3 linked regions of the Drosophila melanogaster genome follow. The protein of the gene in region 1 interacts with the protein of each later gene in a pairwise test. Each region holds a gene or a part of one and is shown in the gene's direction. Other genes may lie near its edges.

Region 1 (10,481 bases):
TTCGGCGGCGTTGGTGGAGTAAGTGTCTCCTCTGAGCGGGGAGCAGGAAGGGGAGGTGCTGCCGGTGGTGGAAGCAGTCGTCGAGGAGGTGGAGCTGGAGCCTCCAGGGAAGGCGACTCCGGCCTGGGCTACCTGCCGCCCACAGGTGGATCGGGCACCAGTGCCATGAGCGGACCCGGGGACAATTACCACCTCAACGATGACGATGTGGGCAGTTCACTGCCTCCTCTGGTCACCGCCAACCACCGAATTCTAGAGATCGACAGGGATCGGGAGTGGGTGCAGCGACACCGCGACTCCACCGTCATCAAGAACGTGGGTAAATGGTACGTGGGCCTGCCGCCTGGTCAAAGTGTGCGTGCCCATGTCCAGAACATCGACATAATACCCTTGGGCGGAAGGATCGGACTTTCGCCGTCGGAGGCACTGCGTCAGGATGAGATCGCCGAGCTGAATGCCTCAAGGGAGCACTAAGCACCCATTGGATCTGTAGATCTGTAGTTTGTAGTGCGTAGCTCTAAGTGATCAGTGTTGAGTAACCGAAACTGGGTTGACTCCACATGGAAACTAAAACAGTATTTAAAGCGGAATACATTTTTTGCCTGTATCTGTATCTCAAACTGTATCTGTATCTCTAGCGAATAGTTATTTGATATCCGTGGATCCGGGTATAAGCAGGTTAATCTGCACATTGCGGTTTCCTTGAATCCACATATAACCCCATGACTTAGCATGCTCGGAGTTTAGTTGTTTCTGAGACTTGAACATGATGTTGGTGCTTTTCATTGCTTCGCTGATAGTTTCCTGTGCTCAAGGAGCGCAAGTGTATATGCAGTTCAATGGACAAGGATACTCCTACAACACGGATGGCGATAGATTGGATAGGAGTGTCGTTAAGCCTAGTTTTGGGGCATCTTCTCTGGATTCCTTTGGTCCGCTGAACTTTGTGCATCAATCTCTGAGGACAAGACAGAATCCACTTTCCCGGATTTCCTACAATACACAGGATAACCTAGCAGTGGCAACATCTTCGCTGAGTGCGGGCTACCAATTAGCATCGACCAACCACCTGAAGCACCGGCAAAGCCAGCAAAACTTTGATTTCAGCACCGACCAGATGTCGCATGCCCAGCACACCGATGAGGCGGGAAATGTTTTGGGCAAGTACTCCTACTACGATGAGGCTGGCTACCATGAGCTGAGCTACAAGGCGGGCGCCGGCATCGGATTCGTGGTCATGGGTGGCAATTTGGCCAAGGCCACCACCGCCGCTGAACCGCACTCGGAAATCGAAATCGGAAACGGAATCCAAACAAATGCCTTGACTAGCCTGCAAGAGTTGCATAAATATCGTGGCTACACGTAAATAAAATATATTAGCCAAAACTATTGCTCGTTCTACTTGGGTGTTTTGCGTTATTTACTGGAAGTCTTTGGAGATCTGACAGTGTCACCTGTCGTGTTTGAGACCTACGTGATCGGGGATCTGAACTGTAAACATATGTCAAAGAATGAATGACTTGTAAAACAGAGTTCATTCAAAGAAAAGAGTGCAGCTTTGCTTGGTTATAGAATGCAAGCAATAGTCAAATATTATCGAGAGCTCTGGATTTCATAACTTCTACGCGGCACAAAATTATCTTTGGATCGGAAGACATTATATTAACATTTATAAATAATGGTGAAATTAAAAAAAAAATGTACGTAAAAATAGATGTCCAAAAATGTATGAATTCTTTTTGTAATTGTAAATCTTGGAATATAATATTATGCTAAATAGGACGGTAGAAAGAATATTTTTCTTCATTTTAAAAAGAAACATAACTTGAGTTCCATAAAAGCGGTCATCGCATTAATAGAAAATTTTCTTGCCTGGACATAATTTTTAAACGTTTTACAATAAAAATGTTTGCATAAAGTAGATAAGGGTAAACATTGTCAGTTTCTGATCGTAAATGATTGTAAGAGCTTTAATTGCTTGTGGCGCGTGCTTTGGCACGATACAACTGCGGCGATTTATGCATGTTATAAACCCTAATTGATTTTCCGATCATAAAAATGGTTATATTCGGTCGCACAAAGTCATTTTACAAATGGACAGTGCATCCCAAAGCCAAATTGAGTCAGCTCTGTGGCTTATTTATTTTTGTTTGGGCAATTTCATGTCGGAAAGGGACCAAAATAATACAGCATTTGAAATGTTCGACGCGTGCGCGCACTTGCCAAATAATTTGAATCGAACGGAAAGCCTTGGCGTCCACGGCGTGGCCTAAATAAAATATATTTCTGGCCGCGCGAAGCCAAGAAAAGCCCATAAGCAATAATAATATGCATATTTGCTAAAACAAAAAGTTATTACATGGGCCAGTTTTGACCGAAAGTTTCACTGCCACAATTAAGTTTTAATGTCAAGAGATCTAAGCGAGTGATTTCCCTGAAACAAGTTCCTACGCACTCGAAAACTTTCTTCGCCGAATGCACTAAAAGAACGTACAGAAGAGCACTAAAAAGCTTGCCATAGCTTGACATAGATTCTATTCGGCCGGGTCTAGGGTTTGTATGGCTGAAATGGCCACGTTCTCAGCGTAGAAATCAATGGCTCACCTGGGAAGTAGCCGAGGTGCATAATTGGGTTAGCGTAGCAGCAGAACGGCCTGCATTGAAACCACAAATTACTGGGGCTCCGGCTCTCCCAGGTGCCAGTTAGCTGTTTCTGTTTATTTTCCCCCTCATAAACAACGGTTTGGGCTGGGATTCTCCTCCTCGCCGAAGGTCAGACTTAATTGGCCCGGGCCTAGGCAACGACATCCCACTAGCAGTCCCGTTTCGCCTGCATTTATAAATAGGCCCCAAGGTCTCTGGGTCTTGGGTCTTCGGTCTTCGGTCTTCGGTCTTCAACTTCTCGACTCGCTCTTCGGCTGCTTGGATTTCAGTTGGGGTTCGATTTATCGCCTTTTGATTGCTGCATTCCAATTGTGGATCAAGTGGTGCGTGTGGCGCATTCGGGGCTTACAACGTGTTGCTGCTAATTTCGTATGCTCCCTTCGGCTCTGCGCACTCGAAACCATAAATCTTGTGGCAATTTTATTGATGCCTGCGTGTGCCACAAAGGTCGACCCCCCGTTCGATGCTGCTTAATCAAGGAATATGCATTATTTCACAGCGCAGTCAGTAGCTGGCTGCTCGGGGCATAAAAGCCAATAAAAGAATAAATTGCAGTTGTATCACAGCAAAGTTAATCACAAAATTAATGGTTCTGGGCTAATAAAGACTGGTCTGCAATGAAAACAAATGACTTAAGGCACGAACCTGAAATCAATTTCTCTGATTTCAGACATTTGTTATTCATGATTATCGATCAAAAACGGTCCGAAGCTAAGTCTTAATCCTGACATCTGTTGATACCCGAGAAGTGTGTGAAGTCTTCACGCCGAAGTGCTTGTCAAATCAAAAAAAAAAAAAAAGAACATGACTCTTGAGTCACTATGTGCGAAACTTTCTAACGAGTTCCAGGCAAACATTTTAATTGAATTGCCCGGCAACGAATCGATTCTTTCATCACGGTAAGTCTCTTACCATTTTGGCTTATGTCATGTTCTGGGCCCGTTCCGAGCTGATTACCTTTCCACTTCCCACACGCATTTCGCTTCTATTCTCGTGGCTCACTCCACTTGTAATGGCCAGTCACTTCGCTCCTGTCCAGTCACACTCAATCAAGCCAATAAACGGCCAATTAATCAAAGTCAGCGCTGTGATTCTGTGTTCTTGCTAGGTGCGAGTTTGCGAAACAGTAGACTGAAGAAGCGACTGTCAGCACATTTAATCAAATGCTTGAGAAATATCTGACAATATGTTAGGCAAACTATTTGCCTAACCCAAGGGATCGGGGAAGATTTCGATCTGCGAAATCCTAGAGTTGTAAGCCTGCATATCAATTGGTGTTGTGTACCCTGGAGCTGGTAACCAAATCCCACAGATCCACGCCCCCAGATAAAAGCCAGGCCAAGGCGCTCGACTACGTGCCCGAATCGCGGTCTTCTCTTCGACTCTCTCTTCTGCCCAAAACCCAGTTCTCTTACACCTGATCGGGCCCTGTTTTCTTGGCCATTTCTTTCGCTTCGTCGTTTGCATCGCTAATGGAAATGTTATAAACAGACGCGCTGGGCCCGGCCAGCACTCAGTTCATCTTCAGACGTCGCCTGGCTCGCTGGCTCTTGGTTCTTGGTAGGAGTTCCATTTCCAGACCCTATTTATTGTGCGTGACAAAAAAAAAGAAAGAAAAACAACGGAACCTGAAACAATCGTAAATTGAAAGCTCAGCAGGATTGGTTTTATAGTGCTTTTAGTGTGTGTGATTTTGCCGCGTGATAACCCAGAGTGCCACTCATTCCCGTTCTCGTTTGCAGTTCAAGGATATATTGTCAAGGCGAGGATTGGTCAACGCCACGAACACCAAGCATTTATTGAAAAATCTGAAACTATTCACCAGAACCTCGCGTTAAAATGCGCTTTCTTGTTGTAAGTCAAATCGCATAAAAAAGAAAATTAAATACCATGAATGACTTAACTTCACATTTTGGGAATACAAAACGAAACTAGTTTATACCTGACCGCAATTAATCATTTATTGCTCTGTGCTGCCGCTGAACTCATTAACTCGTCAACTGGCCCAAGTTCGTGCCTTAAGTCTTTTGTTTCTTTCACTTCTGAATCGACACTAACTTTCACTAAGCGACTTTTTTGATTCTTGGCTTGGTTCTTTCCTTTTTTTGATCGCCTTAATTAGCCTTAATTATGCTCTGTGCCATATGCAAATATTAATAAGAGTGCCTAAAATCTTTTTGGGGTTTATAATAATCACAAATCAATTTGGACGCAAAGAACTATATTGGGGAAACTTTTTTTTATATGAATGCAAAAGGTTAAGACTTCTTTGTGCCAGTTATTGTTCACTTAGTAAAGGTTTTTCAAAAGAGTTAATTCTTTCTGAAAAGTGAAACCCTTTTGTCCATTCCATTTGAACGTGACAATATTCTAGCCCCACCCCAATTTAAAAAGTGAGAATTAATCATTCATACCTAGGAAGTATTGTTCCTTGCATTATTCATATTCCCATTATGAAAAGCATGCCCTTAAAAGTCAAAACTCTACAGCGACTCCCATAAGCAACAATGCCATTCAATTATAACCACAACCAATACAACCACTTGGGTTGAAAAGCCCAAAAAATAATTATGACTCAAAGAACATAAAATTAATATGCCGCAAACGTATAAAAATCATGCGTGGGCTAACAAATGGTAATATAAGTCTTCTTTTCCCCCTCCCAACTATCAAACAATCGGTCACATTTGTGTGGGGTTCTTAACTATAAGTGCACTGGTTTGTTTTCGAGTTTGTGATCGTTTCGATAGTGGTTCATAAATTAATCAATTTATGAGTGTAGACAGTTAGCCACACGTCCCAAGTCCATCAATCCCTGCTCAATTAGCTGCATTGGAATGGCTCTGGAATATCATTTAAGACCAAAAGACACCTGATCGGATGTGAAGATCAGGAGACAGACTCATTTATAACTTGTTTGAGAACATAAAATGCTGCGCTTAAACTTTGCATTCGAGCCATTAACCCAGTTTATTTTTGGACAAGACACACCTGATATGGGGTCGAATCGGCATCGTTATGTGAGGGCAATATAATAAATAAGGCGAAATACACAAAAGAAAGCAGACAGAAATACATCTTACTGCTTGGGGATGCAAGAGTTCTTGCAAATCAATGGCAACCAGGTTCGACAGCCTCTGCGCCAGAATCTCTTCTCTCGAGTTACGTTTCGGCACCGAAATCGTAACAGCCGCCTAGAGGTTCAGGTCAATGACACAACACGAGCCTCGACTTCGAATCCAGCTTTGGTTTTGGCTTTTGGTCTCAGTTCCTCTCGGCTTTGTGACATTTCGGCGCTGATAGATAGGCGTGCGGGCTGGTCGTTTCCACCGGCTAACGGTTGCGTCAATATTGACTTTGCCAAAGATGTGGAGAGCCGGCGAGAGTGAGTCAAATATTTGCCGATCGTGAGGTTCTTGACAATCGTATTCGAGGGAAAATCCGTCAAGTACATAAGCCGTTCCTTGCCACCTGGCTCTCACTTTTCGGCGTAGCTTTCAGCAGCGAAAGAAATTATGCAAATGTGCTGGAGGAGCAGGGAGAGAGAGACTTTCGCGACTTTCGGGACTTGACCGCATTCCACACGTGTGAATTTTGTATCCATTACGACATCAGAATACAGACACCCTATCTAACCGGCATAAATCATAGATCTCATTCATCTATTGTCACACATTTGTCTTTCAGCTCTCAACACTGCTTCTGGCCTCTTTGGCACTTGGCCAGGCTCAACAGCACGGTGGACTGGCCGTCGAGTAAGTAGACTAGTAGCTAGTTACCCAGCCCTAAGACCCCAAATAACCATGAAATGCCTTGCCTGCCAAATGTGACTGTGTCAACGCTAATGCTCATTCCAAGTAGAAGTTGATGCGCTTGCCTAGAACTATGTGACTAAACCGAAAAAAGCCCAGACTTGTGACTAACCCTCAAAACTCATTTCCCTCCACCCAACAACACATTACCCTGCATTAGCAACTAGAAGCTAACTCCACCAACAGATAGAGACCACCAAACAAACCCCACCTTTCGTTTGCAGAATTCAGAAGCAGCGGCTGGTCAAATTTCCCGAGGACTTTGAGCCCAATGCGGCCACTCCGTCCTCGGAAAAGGCGGACGAGGCCAAGCGCATCCTCGAGCAGATAGCCAAGGTTAACGAGGCCTTTGGCTACGTGAAGAAGCAGCCGGAGCAGCCCAAGCTGCCACCGATCCTTGATTCCAGTCAATACCTGTTCCCCAAGCCCGCCCATCAGCCATTTCACGCCCATCAGCACCACTTCTCGGGAAGTAATGGTCAGACCTTGTTAGAACCCTCAATTAGGGCGGTGAAACTCACAAGAAATGTGGCGGGCAGTTACAATGTGCCTCCCAGGTTGCGCCAGGCAATTGAGAGCACCTCCAAGGAGGAGAAGAAAGCGCAACTCTACTTCCGACCCAAACAGGTGGAGGTACCGAAGCCGAGTTCCGAACAAGAAGCACAGCAGCTGCCCGCCCACTTTGTGGTGCCCGTGCACCTGTACAAACTCAATAAGGAGGAGTATCTCAAGGAGCACGCCTCGCAGGAATACAAGATAAAGGGATACAAAATCATTGGCGATGTGGACAGCTTCTATGGCAAGGCGAAGGCTGGAAGAAAACAGGGCAAGACGACGCCCAAGTATCACCTGTTCTTCCTGCCCCGAGAACTGGCTCTCAATGAAGATGGCACCCCAAAAAGGGGTAATTCCACCACCATTGGTACGACCACCACAAAGGCTCCAGTGCCTGTGAACTTCAAGGAATATCGTTTGGACTCCCGCGAGAAGCCCGTGCATAAGCCACAGAAGATTCAGCCCACTTCGTCACCGGAATTAAATTCTTTGAACAGAAAGAAGGTTGGTTCCACAGCGAAACCCGTTCGCTTGAGTGGAAAGGATGCTGAACAGCAAATCTACCAGGGATCCACATCCCTTAATATCAAGGCTACATCTGCGCCTGTCCTGTTGAGTTCTACTTTACCACCATCTGGTGGCTTGCTGCCCAATCGGAATCGCTTAAGTCCATTCCGCATGCCCGGAATGAATATAGCTGAGATGCAGAATCAGACCTCGACTGCCATCAAGAATGCCTTTCAAAACATTTTCAAGCTCCCCTTCCGACCTCCAATGGCGGCCACAGCTGGAGAAGGTCCTGTGGTTGTTGGCAATGTTCCTGTGAAGAATCACTCAATCGATTCGATGGATTATAAATGGGAGGATGAAAACGAGGGCGCCGGCGATGGGATGGCCGATGATGTGGATACCATTGAGAACACAGCCGCGGAACTGGACAACAGTGCCTCCTCAGAGAAGCACTTGTTTGCTCACAAGGGCCATCACCTGATGCACACTGTGAGCCAGGTGGCCACCGCTCAGGAAAGCACCCAAAAGCAGGCATTGCGCGAAGGAGGAATCATCATTCAGCGGCTAAAGGTTCGCAGGGGCGGCATCGCTATCGCAGGACCCGGGGGCGTGGCCACGGCGGGCAGCGGAGGAACGGCGATTGTTGGTCCCGGTGGCTATGCTCTCACCCATCCACGGAGTCTCACCATCGCCGGTCCCGGGGCCAAGGTGATCTCCATACCGGCAGATGTGGACCTTAAAGATGCCCTGGCACGCACCGATCTGGAGACGAGAAGTTTTCCGCGAGAGGGAAAGATAGTGGCTACAGGACCAACGGTCTACTATGCTCCACCCACGGGCACAACAACCATGGAGGCGGATCAGGGGGCGGGGCTGGAGACGGGCCAGTTCGAGTCCTAATCCAGTTCGAGGCTTAAACCTAATAGCTATTATTTAGCACATTTAGTTAGGATCCATAGTTGGTATTGTCTAGTGTTCTAATAAATATTTGTATTTCGTAATTGTTTGGGCTTTTGCTTTCATCTTGTACATAGTAGTTTTAGATATCACACTTATTCCGCATGATATTAACCCGACACAGTTTAACCCCTCGAATTATTGCTGTAAATAATATACGACTAACCGGCGGTTCTCTTCACCATTTTCCTCTATCCCACTCTTCCTAAACCAAAAACTATCCTAACTCAAGTGCCTACTGGCGCACAACCAATATCGAGGCCTGGCCACCAGGAGCACCCGTCGCAGAGAAGTCCGGAAAACTCATTGCAGGATCTGCTCCGGCCCAGGACCTCACGCCCTATGGAGCCTATCAACCCGTGCTGTTCAGTGCCCCATACTACGCCGCCTACAATCTGCCCCTGGCCTATGTGGTGCAACCCACCATCGCCAGTGCCGATCAAGCCACCATAGCCAGTGCAACAACCACAACGACCACTACCACAACTGGCCGACCCGAAAGCTTAGCTGATGACAGCTCCAGCGAGTTGGAGAAACCAGAAAAGCTACAGGCTCTGCCTGCAGTGAAGACCCGAACCACTGGGGATCTGAAGAGTGATGTGGGTCTCCGCTCAGCGGTCAGCAAAATAAACCCCGAGTATGTGATCGAAGAGATCGTTCCGGTGCCGGGCAAGCTAGTGATCTCCACTTCTGGGTCACCCCGCTCCGCCAAGCAGCAGTTGAAGAAGGCGATTGCCCCACAAAAAATGAGAAAGCAGGCGGGTGGAAGAGTTCCCTTGAAGGTTGAGGCCACCGGAAAGACCAGCACGAGTTCCGGCAACTTTCCGCAGATCCCATTTGGAAACTACTTCCTGCCCTATAGACCGGAGCAGGCTCAGGCGATCCAGGGACGCAAGCAGGCTGCACTCATCCTGGAACCTCATTCCAAAGCGGTGGTTGGTAATGGTGGCACTGCCATATCCACGCCCATTTCCAAGGCGTATCTGAAGAAGGGTGTACCCACCAACGTTTACTTCAATCCGGAATCTGTGGCCATAGCAGGTGTGGGTGGCAAGGCGCATGCTACGGCGGATTTGGAATTGGATCTGTTCACGTAAAGGAGCAAGGATTTAACTTAAAGCTCACTTTCATTAACTGATTACTTGGCATTATTTTGAAAGTCAATTGACACAGTACGCAAAACACGCAAAGACAATTTTCCTATGAAATCAGTTGCTGAAAATGGGCTCTATGTAGTAGGTTACCCAACAGAATCTAATTGGTAGTTCCTCCTCCCAACTGACCTATGTTCCTATGTTAAGAACATAGGCCTATCTGATGTGTCATTTCTTAGATTGTAAATAAAGTAAACCGTAAACTGTACAGCTTTCGCCTTGGGTCATATAGTAGTCCGCTAATCCCATGTAGATACTTCTACGCTTCTCTTAATCCCCGCTTTCTCCAGGCAACTCCCAAACACAACCAACACACACACTCTCTATAACCAAATCTAACCCCGAAAAGCAGACACAGATCGAGGTCGGCTCCGCTGGTCTTCGAGGAGCATCCTTACTACGGAGGATTGAGGGGTCAGCTTCTCCAGCTGCGTCCGCAGCGGGACGGCAGTGTGGGCAGCTTCATCCTGCAGCGCCAACAGCCGCAGTTGAGGGCTGTACCTAGAGACTCCGATGACACCATCACCATTTCGGCCGCAAGCATCTCGGCGGTAGCTGATGCTAGTGGAGCTTCTAGCTCCAGCAGCTCGATCTCAGCCAGCGCCAGTGATTTCAATCGGATTCAGTCGGCCGCCGCTCGGTTGGTTGCCATTCAGGAGTTGGCCAAGCGCAAGGGTTCCTTCAGTGAGGAGGACAACAAGATCTATGCCAGCAGCTTACTGGAACTGGGCCAGGCTGCCCAGAGTTTGGCCATGCTCCAGCAAAGCGGACAGATTAAGGACTTTAGTGTTCTGCTGCAGCCGGACATGTTTGGCAATCCTCAAAAGCA
Region 2 (6,895 bases), on another chromosome or scaffold:
ACAAAAGCCTACCAAAAACGCTTCTCACAATGCGCAGGTGTCCAAGGGACAAGTGCCCAAAGTTCTGGCGCTCAAACCGCACGACTGGTAGAGGAGAAGGGAAGGCGACATCCAGATCAAACGAGTCCAATACAGGCAGCTACGCATCTGTCGCCAAGAATGCTAGCACGAGTGCATATTGGACCAAGGTGAAGCCTATGCGCCCGCGTAAAAAGCCTGAGGCACGGATCGTGAAGAAGACGGGTGAGGCTTGGTACGCAGAGATGCTCCGGAAACTAAGATCGGACCCGAGCCTTAGCGAACTGGGCAGAAGAATTCGGAGAACTCAGCTAGATGAGCTGTTGCTCGAAGTAGTGGGAAAAGCCTCGGGAAGCTTTCCCAAGTATAAAAGCGATCTAGAGGCGACGGTCAATGATTTGGCATCTGTGCGGCAGCTCAAAGAATAGCACTATCCTGCAGTGGACTGGACGAGGATACGATAGTAGAGGAGCATCAACAGGCCCTTGGGAGTAGAGCTGCACTGTTTTGCAGACGATGCGGCAATTACAGCAGTCGCCAAAACAATTGCAGAGTTGCAGGACAAATGTAACACCACGATTGGAGCTGCCGTCCACTGGAAAGCCGGGCTAGCAATAGCGGCTCGCAAGACCGAAGCAGTAAGTACTAAGCAGCAGGAAAAAGGTGGAGAATATGCTAGTCCTCTGTCAATGCGACACAGGTGACCTCCCAAGAGTCCCTCAAGTACCTGGGTGCTATGATAGAACCACGCGAGTTACGGCAGCAAGAATGCATCAGTCACAGTTTCTTCATTGGCTAGACTGGTGCCCAACATCGGTGGTCCAAGCTATCTGGCCAGGAAACTGGCTTCGCTGCTGTACGCTGCACCAATCTGTAGCAATGCTACAAGCAGGGGTTCATACCTGAAAGGAGCCATGGCCCTCAGGCTCATTAGAGGATTCAGGACAATATGTGAAGACGCGGCACTAACTCTGGCAGGCCGCCAATTGATCGGAGATCAAGGCTCTCGGCCTAAAGCGGGGTGGCGCTTACCGACGAGTGGCTGTTGGGTGAGTGGCAGAACAGGTGGTCTTACCAGCTCATTCCTGAGTCGGCGGTTTGGGCAGAGTGCCAACACAAATGCTTGGACTACCACCTAACCCAGTTTCACACGGACCATGGCTGCATTCGGGCCTATCTACGTCGATTGTTCTGCGTCATTTGTGAGAAAACAGAAGAGCATGTGCTAATGCACTGCTCCAGGTTTGCGATGGAGAGGGAGCAGCTAAAGACGAAGTCAGGTGCTCCGTTCAGCCCTAGTGGCTTGTTCGCAGCTATATTGGCAAAGAGCGAGGCATGGGAGCTGGGACACAGTCTAATCATTAAAATGATTAAACGTGTCCGATCAGACGAGATGGCCAACAGAGAAGGTGGCTAAACCCGAACAGGTGTCCTGTGTGGTGGCGAGTGAAGAATACTACCTGAGCGTTCCCGGCTTGTCGTAAAAAGCGACTAAAGGGTGAAAAGAGGCGCACTCATGGCCTACACTGAAGGAAGAGAGTGTGAAGCCAAATTCTGTTCATCGAAGTCATACAATGGCAGTCCCGGTGAGCGTTCAAGGACTGAAGAGCACACGGAGGTTTTTGTTTTAGTATGTGGTGTTGTTTTTGTTGTTGCGCAGGTATCAGTGTTACCAGACCAGACGTCGGCTAGCACCTAAGCGCGATTGTTCTCGGTTGTGCGAAGGGGCACACTGTGAATTAGTGACTCGTAATGTCAGTGGATAAAACGTATTATGTAGCTTAATATATCATTGACAGTTCTGAGAATTTTCAATCTTCTACAAACTAATGTTAAGACATGCAAAAATTGTTTTTGTAAATGAACAAGTAGTTTAATAGTATTAATCGTATATTTGTATAAGTGTTAGTATATTGCTGTTTCTTTTTTACATTTTATATCCAGAATAACATAGATGTTTTTAAGCGATAGTTGCTATCGATAGTGCTGGACGATAGTTTGCCACCCCAAGTGTCACCAGTGAAACGCCAGTCCTATTTTTTTTTTACGAACGTAGTTCGAATAGTCAGGATAATTTGAATCTGGTTGTTTTTACTTCACACATAGCTTAGGAAAAGGTGTGAAAAGCGTATACTGTGAGCCATGGACATCGATTTGAGTCTGGACGAGATTATAGAGCGGAAGCGCGGGCAACGCGGCTATCGTCCCCTCGACAGAAAGTTGTAAGTACATTTACAGGACAGCCGAAAAAATAGAATGTCACTCAATGCGTTTTCCATTGCAGCAATGCGAACTTCTCCAAGCCGCGCCAGCTGCTGAACAAGCCTTTTTTCAAGCCATCGGGTGCCCGAGGATCTCACTCTGATACGCCGGCAAAGCGCACCTTCGATGCCAGAAACACGATCGCCGCGAAGACACGGGCCAAGATAGCCGATGCCCGGGATCTGATCAACAAGAGCGTGCGCGACTCGGGCATCGATGCCCGCCAGCTGTTGCTGGAGCGAAAGAAGGCCCGTTCGGCGGGCCCAATACTTATTGATGACGAAGAAGAGTCGTTTGAGCCATCACATCGCGCACGCGGAAAGGGAGTGCACATCGGTCAGTTTGGTCACCGCCTTAGCATGTCAAACCATGCGGACGGCACCATTCAGGCGAAATGGGACTCGGACGACGGGGTCGTTGAACTGGGTAACCACATGTTGTCCGGCTTGCGTCGAACCTTTGACCCCAGATCCCATAAGCCGGGCAAACCCTTTGCTCCACGACGCTATATTGATCTTGATAATATGCAGGACCTCGAGGATGGTTAGTTAGTGCCTTTCTCTGCCAAGCCGTTCCTAAAAAGCACTCTTCTACTTTCAGAGGAAATATCTCGCACACTGCACTTAGGGCAAATGAAGCAAGCGTCGCCACGCTACTCAATTGGTGGGCTCGACCTGAACCGCGGCGACGACGTGGAGATGTCCATGGCCCCACTAAATAACAAAATAGATAACAATGCATTCTCCATTTACGAGGCGGCCCGCAATCGCATTGAGCGTCCTTCGCTGACCAACCGACTCGTAGTTGGACGCTCAAATACCACCAAGGAGCCTCTCGAGCGCCGCCACCGCGACACAGCAAGCACAAGTAAACTCCCAGAATCGCTGCGGTCTCGTCTGTTTGTCGGTAAGAGGGATCCTCACATTTCTCATGGCATCTACGCCAACGAGAACCGGAGAAAGGCTGTTGGTGGCGGTGGTGCTAGGGATAGCGATAGCGGTACTGATAGTGATGGTGATGCAGCTGCTCCATCGAAGAACAAGCGCCGTTCGCCATCCCCATTGTCGCTGCGTACGTCGAACACAAAGGATGGATACCGCCTGCTGGTGAGCAATCTGCATACTAACGTGACTACTGCGGATATTCGCGAGCTTTTTAGCGACATCGGCCCAGTGTACGACGCTCGTGTGGTGCGTCCCGGCACCGCCGAAGTTATTTACAAGTCACTGGAACATGCCGAGAAGGCCGTAGATACCTATCACCATCGTCAGTTCGATGACCAGCCCATGCACTGTGTGCTGGTTAATCCGCACTCCTCCCGTCGCTCGGTGCACAAAGCCAGGTGAGTGATATGCTTTAAAGATACCAAGCAGTATTGTTCAACGTTCTCGGCCGTAGCTCTCGCACCGTGACCACAAACTCGTCTGGCGTGGAGGTGGACATCGATGCACTTCACTCGGTACTCTTCAGGGTCCGCTAGGAAGCGAGAGGCAGAGCCCGGGAACTAAAGCAACTAGATAATTTTTCTCATCATTTTCATCATCTCCGTAGTATTTAGTTCAACAACGTAGTCCATTTTCATTTCGCGCTTATTAAATTCGAATCGATCCATCCAGCGTATGTTCAGAAAACCAGACTAGTTTAAACGAGAACATTTCTTTACTATAGAAACTTGAATTTTCTAATGCAAATTCTGGCATATCTGTCCACTTCAGTATTCAGTATTAGGTGGCTAAAATTTTTGTCTTATCATCAAAGTAATTCATCAGTCCCACTATATACACAATTAAATGTATGGCATTGATAATGATTTTGCATCCGCTCTTGAAATTTGGTATTGAAAACTTTTCTTTTACCTTTTTTGAATGACACTATGGATTATGATTATACGATAAATAAGAGGACCCAGTAATGTTACAATTGCTTGTATAATATTTCATAAAATGTACAGTTTTTAAATTTCATAAAATTAATTCATAATAATTAAAGAGAAAGGAGCAGTTTGGTAAGCAGTTAAGAGTTGCAAAAAAAAATGTATATGTAAAGTAACTTGGAGGCCGCTTAGTTATCCCGGATGCCCGTTCCGTAGTTGGCGCCGCCGGCACGGTTCAGTGCTTCACGGAAGAGCTCAATGTCCAGCTCGGCCTCCACTCCCGCCTGAAGTTCCACGGCAAAATTCTGCAAGAGATTAGAGATGAGAGGATCTATTTCTGCCTCTGGGCTCTGGCATCTCTAGCTATTGGCTACTCACGTTGAGGACATCCTTGATCAGCGCCTTGTCCGTGGACATCTTGGCCCTCTGGATGACGCCCACCTCCTGCCCGATCCACGTCAGGAAGATGAACTTTTTGCGCTTGGACATCTCGTCACCCATCTGGATGCGTATGTAGCCAAAGGCGCGCTCCGAGTCGCCGAACTGCTGTCGGAATTCCTCAAAGCACTGACCGCGCGCATGTACAATAATCTGGGCGCCATCGAACTTGAATACCGCCCACTCGGTGTCTGTCAGATCGGAGCGTACATCCTCGTAGGCCTCGCGAATCGAGTCCTTCTCCAGCGACGTGGCCAGCGGCATCTGCGAAAGAGCAAGGGGGAAGAGGATTATAAGCAAGCGAAGAGGGGAACTATAAGCAACTTTCAGACGGAAGTATATATCTTAATCATGTATTCCAAGTCCGAATCGTTTCGCCAAGGCGAATGGATCATCCGCTTTGGCCCATCGATAGCGAAATGTATTGTATGTACTCAATGCGGGGCCAAGTACTCTTGACGGCGCCATCTATGAGTCAGATTTAAGCGGTGCTTTCGCTTTCGATGGTTATATTACATTCAATTCGACTTGTTTCCGTGTCAGGCAACCTCAAGTCGGCCAGGGGAATAGGCACGCCATTGCATCGCCCACTTGCATTACGTTCGGGCAGATTCACGGAAAGCAATTTGTTGCCGCTTTAGTGCTTTATAAACATAATACCAGCGGGCCAGCGGAAAAGTAGCCAATGTAAATATGTACATATTTCGAAGAAAAAATAAAGGCTTTATTATGATAACATACTGGAACATACCCGCATATTAAATTACAGCATTTTTGATAATGATATCAGCACACACATATGAGGGTTCAGGGTTCTGGTTCAAAGCCCAAAAATATGATGATTTAAAAATATCGATATGTAAATGAATTTAAATTGCTTGATAAGTTCGAATGGCTTGATAGTGAAATGTAAAAAACCAAGTCTCAATACGATTTTGGTTAGCTAAAGATTAATTTTAATTGTGGTTTATTAAGTGATCTTTGGGGTAGCATTATGTGCACAAAGTTAGGCTCAGCTTAGATGCGTGGAAAGCGTGTAAAGCGATTGGATCGATGGTTTTTGATACGAGTATACTTGTAGTACGGATCGGAAAACTACCCTTTCACGTAGTGCACTCTTATTGTCTTAAGCGGATCGCCGCATTAAAATCAATTTACGCGTGACAATTTTCAATCAGCAGCCGGCGGAAAGCAGGTCAGAGATTTGATAAGTGACTTGGGGTCGTCGGAACGGGATGACAACAAACAAAGAGAGCCAAATGACTGTTGGTCCAACTGCCAGCCAAATGGATCGGGCTTGGAGTCAGGAACTAGACTCGCGTATAAATAGACATTGAAGCTGGGCCAGAGATACGGATACAGATACAGCTAAAGGTACAAATACAGATACAGATACAGATACCGATGGGAAGATGGAGATAGAGATCGCTCTATAATGCGTTCAATGACCGGAGAGTACGGCGTCTGGTGAGAAAAATCAATTAGAAAAGCGACGACTGTCGAAAATATCAAAAGCCAAACAATTAAACCCAAAGATGTTTCGGGCGACGACTTTCACAACGCGACGCAGTAAGAACTTGGAGTTTGTATGTGTATTCTATGCGTCGCATAGAACTATGGAACAGCTCTGAATCTCCCGTTTCGTGGCTCTGAATTAATTAGTCGGAAGGCAGGCAAAAAAAAAAAAAAAATGAACAAGATGCGGACGCAAACTGTGCCAAAAATGAGCGGACGACTAAGAAACCGTTGCAGCGAATGACCCACCGAAAATACCCGACAAATTTTCCCCCAAACAAGCAAGATAGCAGATACAAATGTATATAGAAATGTCGGTGCTCCTCCTGCAACCTCCACGGGTACGTGAGCCAAATTGTTGGCTAAAATTAGCTGAAATTAAGTTTCCAGCCGATAAGCCCGATAACGTTCGCACATATGTATCTATATACATATATATGCCTATATGGCCATATCTCCACTTCTGACACAATGACAACACGACAAATTAGATCACTCCAGTTGGGCTGGGAGTGCACCCAAAGATCGGATAGGATAGGCTCGGATAGCCCCACCTCCGGAATTGACGCAATGCCATCTATTTGCTCTGATAAGAAAACTGTCGCAAAACTAAAGGAACTGTAATTGATTTATTACCGAAAGTTCTTGGGATCGCCCGGGCAATTAGTGCCGGTTAAATCTGTAGGGCTCGCCTGTTCCAATTTTACACGCCATAAAAATTCAGCAGAGATTGACGCTTAGTCATAGGAATCGAGATATTGCGCTGGCTTCAGGAAATATATCGAAAAA
Region 3 (7,132 bases), on another chromosome or scaffold:
TTAGTTATTTCTTTTATTTCAAAACAAACAATTAGGTTTCTATAATACCTTAAGCACTAAAGTTATTCGTTTTCATACGTTATTGACTCGCTTTTGAAGTTGTGCACCTGTTCGTACCACACATCATCCCCATCTTGCTGCGGCTCGCCGTAAAACGTTGGGAACGGTGGGGCTTCCTTATTCTTTCGCGTTGGCAAGATGGTATCGTATATGTAGACCAGACCGCCGGTGGGGCCGGCCACCGAGCTCCCTTGCACCCACATAACATTATATTTGGTGTTAATGCGCCACACGCGCAGACCCTTGATGATGCGCCACCGGTTTCCCATGTGTCCCGGCATCTTTGTGCCTGGCCAGACGCGACCCTTCTCGCCACCACCGCCAATGTTGCCGGCACGTCGATGAGTTTTCGTCACACCGTGCGATGCTGGCATGCCCTTAAATCCGTGTCGCTTGACAACACCTTGGAAGCCATGGTCAACTCTGCAAAATATAAGTAGAGTACGTATAACCAGCGCTTAGACGTATGTACTTACGTTTTGCCGCGAACATCGACGAAGTCACCAACGCGAAAGTGGTTGACATTTAGTGGAGTGCCTGGCGCCAGTTGGGCTTCTGGAGAGACGATGAATCGGGCCAGGTTCTTCTTGGGGAGCACACCCGAGTTGCGGAATATGCCCGCGTACTCTTTGGTCAACAGAGCTGGGTTCGTGGTCTCGGAGCCAACGAGAATGCAGCCGCGCTTGTGCAGGTTGGCTACCGTGGGAACTTGGGCAGGTAAATACTCTTCCGGGGGAATGTATTTAATGACATGATTGTCGACGATTTGCAGCAGCGTGGTGCGAATCCGCTCGCCATTCTTTAGCCACAGCGGGTACTGGCCAATTTTGCGCGCTATAACGCCGCATCTTCGCAAATTCGGAGTCCACACAGCCTCATTGGCGGTTGGGCCCGCGGTCTTGACCAAACTATCCTTAATAACTGCCGGAACGCCAAAGTTATTGGTGCCCACTTCGTTGACGAACTGCTTGTTCTCCGCCGTCATCAAATCGTTGTATTTCTGTTGCAATAAAACGCAAATGAGTAGTTTGTTTATAGATAAAAAGATATATGTCACATACTGTAATTTCCTTGCGCAGAAACCATTGGGGATTCCGCAGTCGAGGTCTGCTCAAATGGCCCTTATCGCGCACCTGCGTAACCAAAACACTGCTATTTCCACTGAGCCTGAATGGAGAAACCAGAATTTACTAAATGGCCACTATAGCAACGATAAGTGTACCCACCGGAGACCCAGTAATTGATTAATAACGCTCCGCATCATACTTATATAATATAATTTAACAAAGCATAAAAGCGAGCCGGTGCAGAATAACCAAAAGAGCTGTCAAAACATCGGCCACAGTATCGATATCAGCGATATTTGGGGCACGGCTGCTTGACCATCGATTATTTCTGGTCAATTTCGATTCCACATGCTCTTATAATTGGAGTAGTGGAAACATGATGTGATTATTATCGCAACTATGTAAATCAGAAATTGTAGTTTTTAATAAATTTGTAACATTTGTAATACATTTTGGTAATGAATTCACCCCTCTCTATGTAACGACGCGCAATGTTGTTCATTGACAAAATAGATGATTCACAATTCGTGCTAAGCTATGCATGCTGCAAACTTTAGACGCTTAATAAACATTTGATATCTATCAAAGAAGTTTTAGCGCTTTCATTTTGTTTCCCAATCATTTCTGTCAATTAAAGTTAGAGAATGGGAGAGAGTAATGCGTTGAAATGCGAACAAGTAAGTAACAGGTGGTTGTTGGAACGCATGAGAAGTAGATGGCACGGCAAAAGCTTATGGACACTCCTGCAAATGTTAGTGTCGCGGTGGAGACAGGGTATTTGATGCGCTTAACAGCACAGTTAATATACTTAACAGCACGTTCAGATAACTTGTGTATTTTTATCAGACCTACATTAATTTTTTTTTCTAATCGGAGATTTAACAGTCAAAGTAATATATATATATTGTGGTGCATTTAGAATACAATGAAACGAAATATGCAATTGATGCTGAATAATATCGCGTAATTGATGCGAAACGCGCGACACGACACGGCCAATTTGCGTTCTTCGATCAGAGCAACATTAGATATTGGGAAATTACTCATACACTAATGTTTACTCTGTGAGTAATTTTAACACGGGCACAAATGTGTGTGCGGTTGCGGTACGCGAAAAACTACCGACGGTTGCCTTTCGTAACTAAGAGCATTTATTTTTGTATAAGTGAATTCCAATGGGCTAAAGTCATATGAAAAGCGTCTAAACATGAGCCCCTCGACGATTCGTTTATAAGGATTTGATTTATTTATTTATTTGTGATTCCATTGCATTGCGTATGTATGTGTGCTGGTGTGTATCTACGTATATGTATGCTGATATATATATATTATTTAGTTTTTTAAACAACTACATGCATGCGAAATAAACAAAGGATTTGGTGCTGCAGTTGAATTTCATCCCAGGGGTATGTCCGATATCGAAATTATGGTGTTAGTGGCCTCGCAACCTGTTTTAAGATCGAATGTTTACATATGTACATCGAAATTTAACAAGTTTATGCAAAAAAAAAGAGGAAACGATAAAAACTCTCGCCCACCCCTCCCTTCAACACATTCTTATGCACATAGTGTTGTAAAGTGCGCATATGAGTTATTTATCAGTAAGCGAACATAAACTAAAGTTATTTTTAAATAACAAATGTACACAACATACAAATACAGGCGGTGCACATCTGTATGTATGCAAGTATGCAAGTATGCCTGTACATACCTAGCTTCATGCAACAATTTTAAGCGGGCTTAACTGTAAAAAAAAACCGATAAGATAATTTAAAACGGAATGTTTAACTGTTTTTTAAGCCCCAAAAATCCACCATAAGTTCGTATTCAACAGGTATTAAGGTATATCTAGCGAAAATACATAGCAACAGCTGTGTTTTTACTCGTTGCGCATTCCATCAGTGGAAACTCGCCAACAAAATTTCCCATGATCTTGAATTGCACTATCTGAACTCGGCTTTAAATAAATACATATATATTGCATTATTTCAATGCCTAACATTTTCATATATATAACTATCTCTTAGGCTTATAAAGTTATCAAGGATTTTTAAAGTTGTTGTAGTCAAAGAAAGTGAAAACAGGTGATTAACTGGTTATCAGTAATCAATGGTCCTATGAGCCGGATAAAAGTACTTTGCGAATTTGAATGGAAAGACTATTATTGCGTAAAGGGGATATGTTTTGTGAATTGTTTTAGTTAGGGTGTATATACATTTATCTGCGTCATTGTTTCCTTGATAACTTGGGCCTGGAATCCACTAAAATTTGTTTAAAATATATATTGATTAGGCGATTATTTCTGAGAATTCTCCGTGCCTGCGCCTATCTATCTTAAGATCTGATAAGAAAAACATATACAACAATGACAATGTAGTAAACAGGCGTCTGTAAGCAACTTTATGATTTAAATACACCCATAAATAAATGGCATTCAAAGTGTATTTTCCAAGTGGCTGACTTTCGCAATTTTTATTGAACATGATTTTCAATTGCAAAGTCGGTTTTGCATTTATGTAATGGCGACGACTTATCAGCCTGTGGCTGGTTTCACTGTAATAGGAAAGTGTTCGCAAGTGTATTTAAACTTGTTTTTGGTAAACGCTTGTACATATGTATATGTTTGCAAAAGATAAGAAATTTACTAGAGTGTGGGTCTTGCTCGGTACACAGACGATAAGAAATTAACAATAGTCCGTTCTTGATGAAAGTTAGTCGTTGACTGCCCACTTTTTATCGTGGCACTGTGTTTCAATTTATCTTTTTATATAATCTCATCAGTTTGCTTTTCGGATCTGCTCTTATTTTCGGAATTTCACAGTTTAAAGTTTATCGAATGTGGGGAACCGACCTTAAATCAAAATCACAATTGCCAGAGCTCTGCGCGATCAAAACGAATAAATATAATACATAATGGACTTCACTTGCTAATTATTGGTCAATTTAGGCTATAAATTCATATTCCGGTGATTGCGATGTACTCAAAATATCGTTTTTAAACCACACAAAGCAATGGGTTCTCTAAAAGAGAGAATGCAAGTTCTTTAATACAGAGTTGATAAGAATCGAGTGAATCATGTTTCTTCATGCTAGAACAAAATATTTTCTCAAAGTAACTTAGCGTATTCTTGGCCGCTCAGCCGCAATGCAAGTTTTGCGCAATTAACTCTACTTGTTGTTTAAAAAGATATCTTATATCAGTTGTCTTTGCAGGAAGGATTACCAATATGCATAATCCACCAACTGATAAACAGTATTTGCATTGAATAGTAAATATATAAAAGGAGCGCAATTCCAGCTGTAAATGTTGCAAACACCGCAGTTTTCTCGAAACTCAACCGACAAATCTACACAATATATCACAATATATCAGTCACTGCGAATGCACTTAGCTCTGTGGAAAGCAACATCGAAAGAACCTAAATAAAACTGAAACTTAAACTGAAAATCACAGCAAATATTCAAATTCAATATTATTAAAAGCAAACGCAAACATCATGGGCGGCGGCAAAAATGTACGCCGCGGCTTGGAGCCTCTGGAGTTCGAAGAATGCATCGTCGACAGTCCGGACTTTCGCGAAAATTTAAATCGACATGAAAAGGAACTGGACCACACTAGTCATCAAATAAAACGAATTATCAAAGAGGTCAAAGATCTTATGAGTGCGGCAAAGAGTAAGTAGTACAATCCATTTACCGGAGGGCGTAAAACGTGTGTCTGTTTATTAAAGTATACAAAAAATGATTTATAAATAATGCCTATTCACATATGCTTCCACATATCTTCTTGTCCTTCTGATTCCCGATCCCTGGTATGCTTGAAACACGTATTGAATTCGGGTCCAATCGACAGGCGTTTTAGGTACTCTTGATATTCGTTTAGCGTTATGAAACGCATATTTGGACACAGCTGTGTCACCTTCCGATGGTAGTCACAGGTATGATCCTGTACCCAATGGCGTGGCTCCATTAGCTCCACCTCCGTGAACTCCACATGCGTATCGAGTACACTCGGATTGTTGCGCACGGTTAAGAGCAAACTGCTGTTAAACACCGAGTCCCGCAGAAGTGTGATGACATCGGGCGACTTGCTAAACTCCTTTAGAATGTCACTAAATTCGGGCATCTTATGGAGTTCCTCACTCCTGAACTTCTTTAGCATGAGGGGCGGCAGGAAGCTGAAGCGAATTTGACTTAAAACCCTATAGGTGCTCGAACGTCGCTGCGGCCAAAGATGCGCTAGCCACATTAAGGCGGAATATAAAAGCTGTGTATTCATATATCATGGTTATACTTCTACTATACTATAGATATAGAACTTGCCTCCATTTCCGAATTGATTGCCAGAAAGTTGGACTTGAGTATGTAGCAAATTTGTGTTTCGCTGAGGCACAGGAATTCCCGAGTCGATGCGACTGGCAAAATTGAAATGGAAATGCGCCCAGTCAGCTTATCGAATACATCCCACAAGTTGGTGGCGCCTCGTAATTCGAACAATAGGCGAAACGCAGAGATCTCAAAGAATGTTATCCTATCCAGGTTCGCCCAACAGGCCTCGAGCAGCTCGGGAATGTCCAGGAAGTATGCGGCCCTCAAAATTTCGCCCATATCGCACGGATTAACCTCGCCATCACTGGAAATCATCCATAGATATGCGTCGCTGAATCCTTTCGGGCTCAAATCATTCGACTTAAAGACAATATGGTCAACATCTTCCTGCAATATTTTCAGCATTCGCCTTGAGTAAATACTTAGTATGATATTGTGGCAAAGGAAGACGCGATCGTGAACAGTGACTATTATATCCGCACACTCGTAGTTCTGGATGTAAGGCACCAGGTATTCCTCTGGCGGCACTTCGTGGTCTATTTCGACAATCTCGGACTCCGTTGGATCTTCCTTCAGTGTTCGTATACTATTTGCAAAGTTCAGAAATGTCTGTTCCAAGTAGCAAAGCCTTTCGCGTGTCCTAACATTGATGAAATGGACATATGGACATTGGGAATTTATTAGCTTACTTAGGTTGCAAAGGTTCGGGGTCAGGAACAGGATCAGGATCAGGATCAGGATCAGGATCAGGATCAGCATCAGCATCAGGGTTTCTTTTACTCGCCAAAAAGGGCCTCGTTTTATACATGTTTTTTTTTTTTCGTATATCTGTGCTGTATTTATGTGGTGGGAAGTGAGGCAAAGACGTCTAGTTCTAATGAGATTTATGTTATGTTTGATGTTTTCCCTTTTGCTTTCATATTTATTTCAATGGTTTGTCAAATTGCATTTAAATACTTTTTCAGTCCTGTCCACTCGAATGAAACAATTGGCCATTTTACTTAACGATTTTAACTTTGAGTGCATTGGCACTGCTCAGACCGACGATGAGAATGTCATTTGTGAAAGTCTCAAGCGATTTGGTGCTATAATTGGCAATATTGAAGATGAGCGCGAAAAAATGGTAAGTTGGCTTGTCTGATCGGGTCATATAATATTGGTTTCCAAATTAGTGAGAATCTGAACAATCTATTAACAATTACCAACTAGCTAACGCTCGCCGATAAACATATTATTGAGTCACTGGAGGATTTTCGAAAAAAGCAAATCGGTGGCGTCAAAGAAAACAAAAAGAAATTTGATAAAAAGACGGAGAAATTTTGTCAATCGCAGGAGCGTTTCCTCAATATGTCAACTAAAAAGCCCGAAAACACAATACAGGAGGTAAGTTATTTCAAAATTTTTATTTTTTGCAATTGCCATCGAAAAGCTATTGTTTAAACTCAGAACTTGTTGTGCAATGTAAAAATAATAAAATAGAAACGTTTTTTGAAACCTAAAAGGTACCACTTCACTTTGAAATGGCATAGTTTTATGAATAAATAGTTTTACACACTTGGATTGTGGTCGCATATTTGTAATTTAGTGCTATATCATTCGAATAATAGTATTAATATTAATATAATTTCTTTCTTTGTAGGCTGACGCCAGTTTGGGGATGCATGAACGCGAGTATA

Evidence for each region. The genes of interacting proteins can lie anywhere in the genome.
Region 2: the proteins of CG11905 (region 1) and CG18259 interact in a two-hybrid assay, tested with the Drosophila melanogaster proteins (one large-scale study listed by BioGRID).
Region 3: the proteins of CG11905 (region 1) and Graf interact in a two-hybrid assay, tested with the Drosophila melanogaster proteins (one large-scale study listed by BioGRID).

What each region holds. Positions count from the first base shown.
Region 1 is NT_037436.4:16,929,231-16,939,711, reverse strand, and holds CG11905 (uncharacterized protein), read left to right. Parts: upstream 1-4,175; 5' UTR 4,176-4,224; exon of another isoform or gene 4,225-4,406; 5' UTR 4,407-4,503; coding exon 4,504-4,518; intron 4,519-6,351; coding exon 6,352-6,419; intron 6,420-6,700; coding exon 6,701-8,441; 3' UTR 8,442-8,540; downstream 8,541-10,481. Other genes in the region: Cpr73D (cuticular protein 73D), read left to right, coding at 1-474; CG13022 (uncharacterized protein), read left to right, coding at 770-1,366.
Region 2 is NC_004354.4:18,778,641-18,785,535, reverse strand, and holds CG18259 (uncharacterized protein), read left to right. Parts: upstream 1-2,041; 5' UTR 2,042-2,160; coding exon 2,161-2,240; intron 2,241-2,302; coding exon 2,303-2,823; intron 2,824-2,880; coding exon 2,881-3,622; intron 3,623-3,678; coding exon 3,679-3,760; 3' UTR 3,761-4,271; downstream 4,272-6,895. Other genes in the region: CG6891 (uncharacterized protein), read right to left, coding at 4,342-4,458, 4,532-4,855.
Region 3 is NC_004354.4:15,755,526-15,762,657, reverse strand, and holds the start of Graf (GTPase regulator associated with FAK), read left to right. Parts: upstream 1-2,008; 5' UTR 2,009-2,418; intron 2,419-2,463; exon of another isoform or gene 2,464-2,533; intron 2,534-4,340; 5' UTR 4,341-4,624; coding exon 4,625-4,802; intron 4,803-4,890; coding exon of another isoform or gene 4,891-5,349; intron 5,350-5,432; coding exon of another isoform or gene 5,433-6,264; exon of another isoform or gene 6,265-6,340; intron 6,341-6,421; coding exon 6,422-6,579; intron 6,580-6,665; coding exon 6,666-6,839; intron 6,840-7,095; coding exon 7,096-7,132. Other genes in the region: mRpL3 (mitochondrial ribosomal protein L3), read right to left, coding at 63-483, 537-1,060, 1,122-1,227, 1,287-1,324; CG8260 (uncharacterized protein), read right to left, coding at 4,891-5,349, 5,433-6,221. UniProt on the Drosophila melanogaster protein: GTPase-activating protein for Rho family proteins. Essential component of the CLIC (clathrin-independent carrier)/GEEC (GPI-anchored protein-enriched early endocytic compartment) endocytic pathway.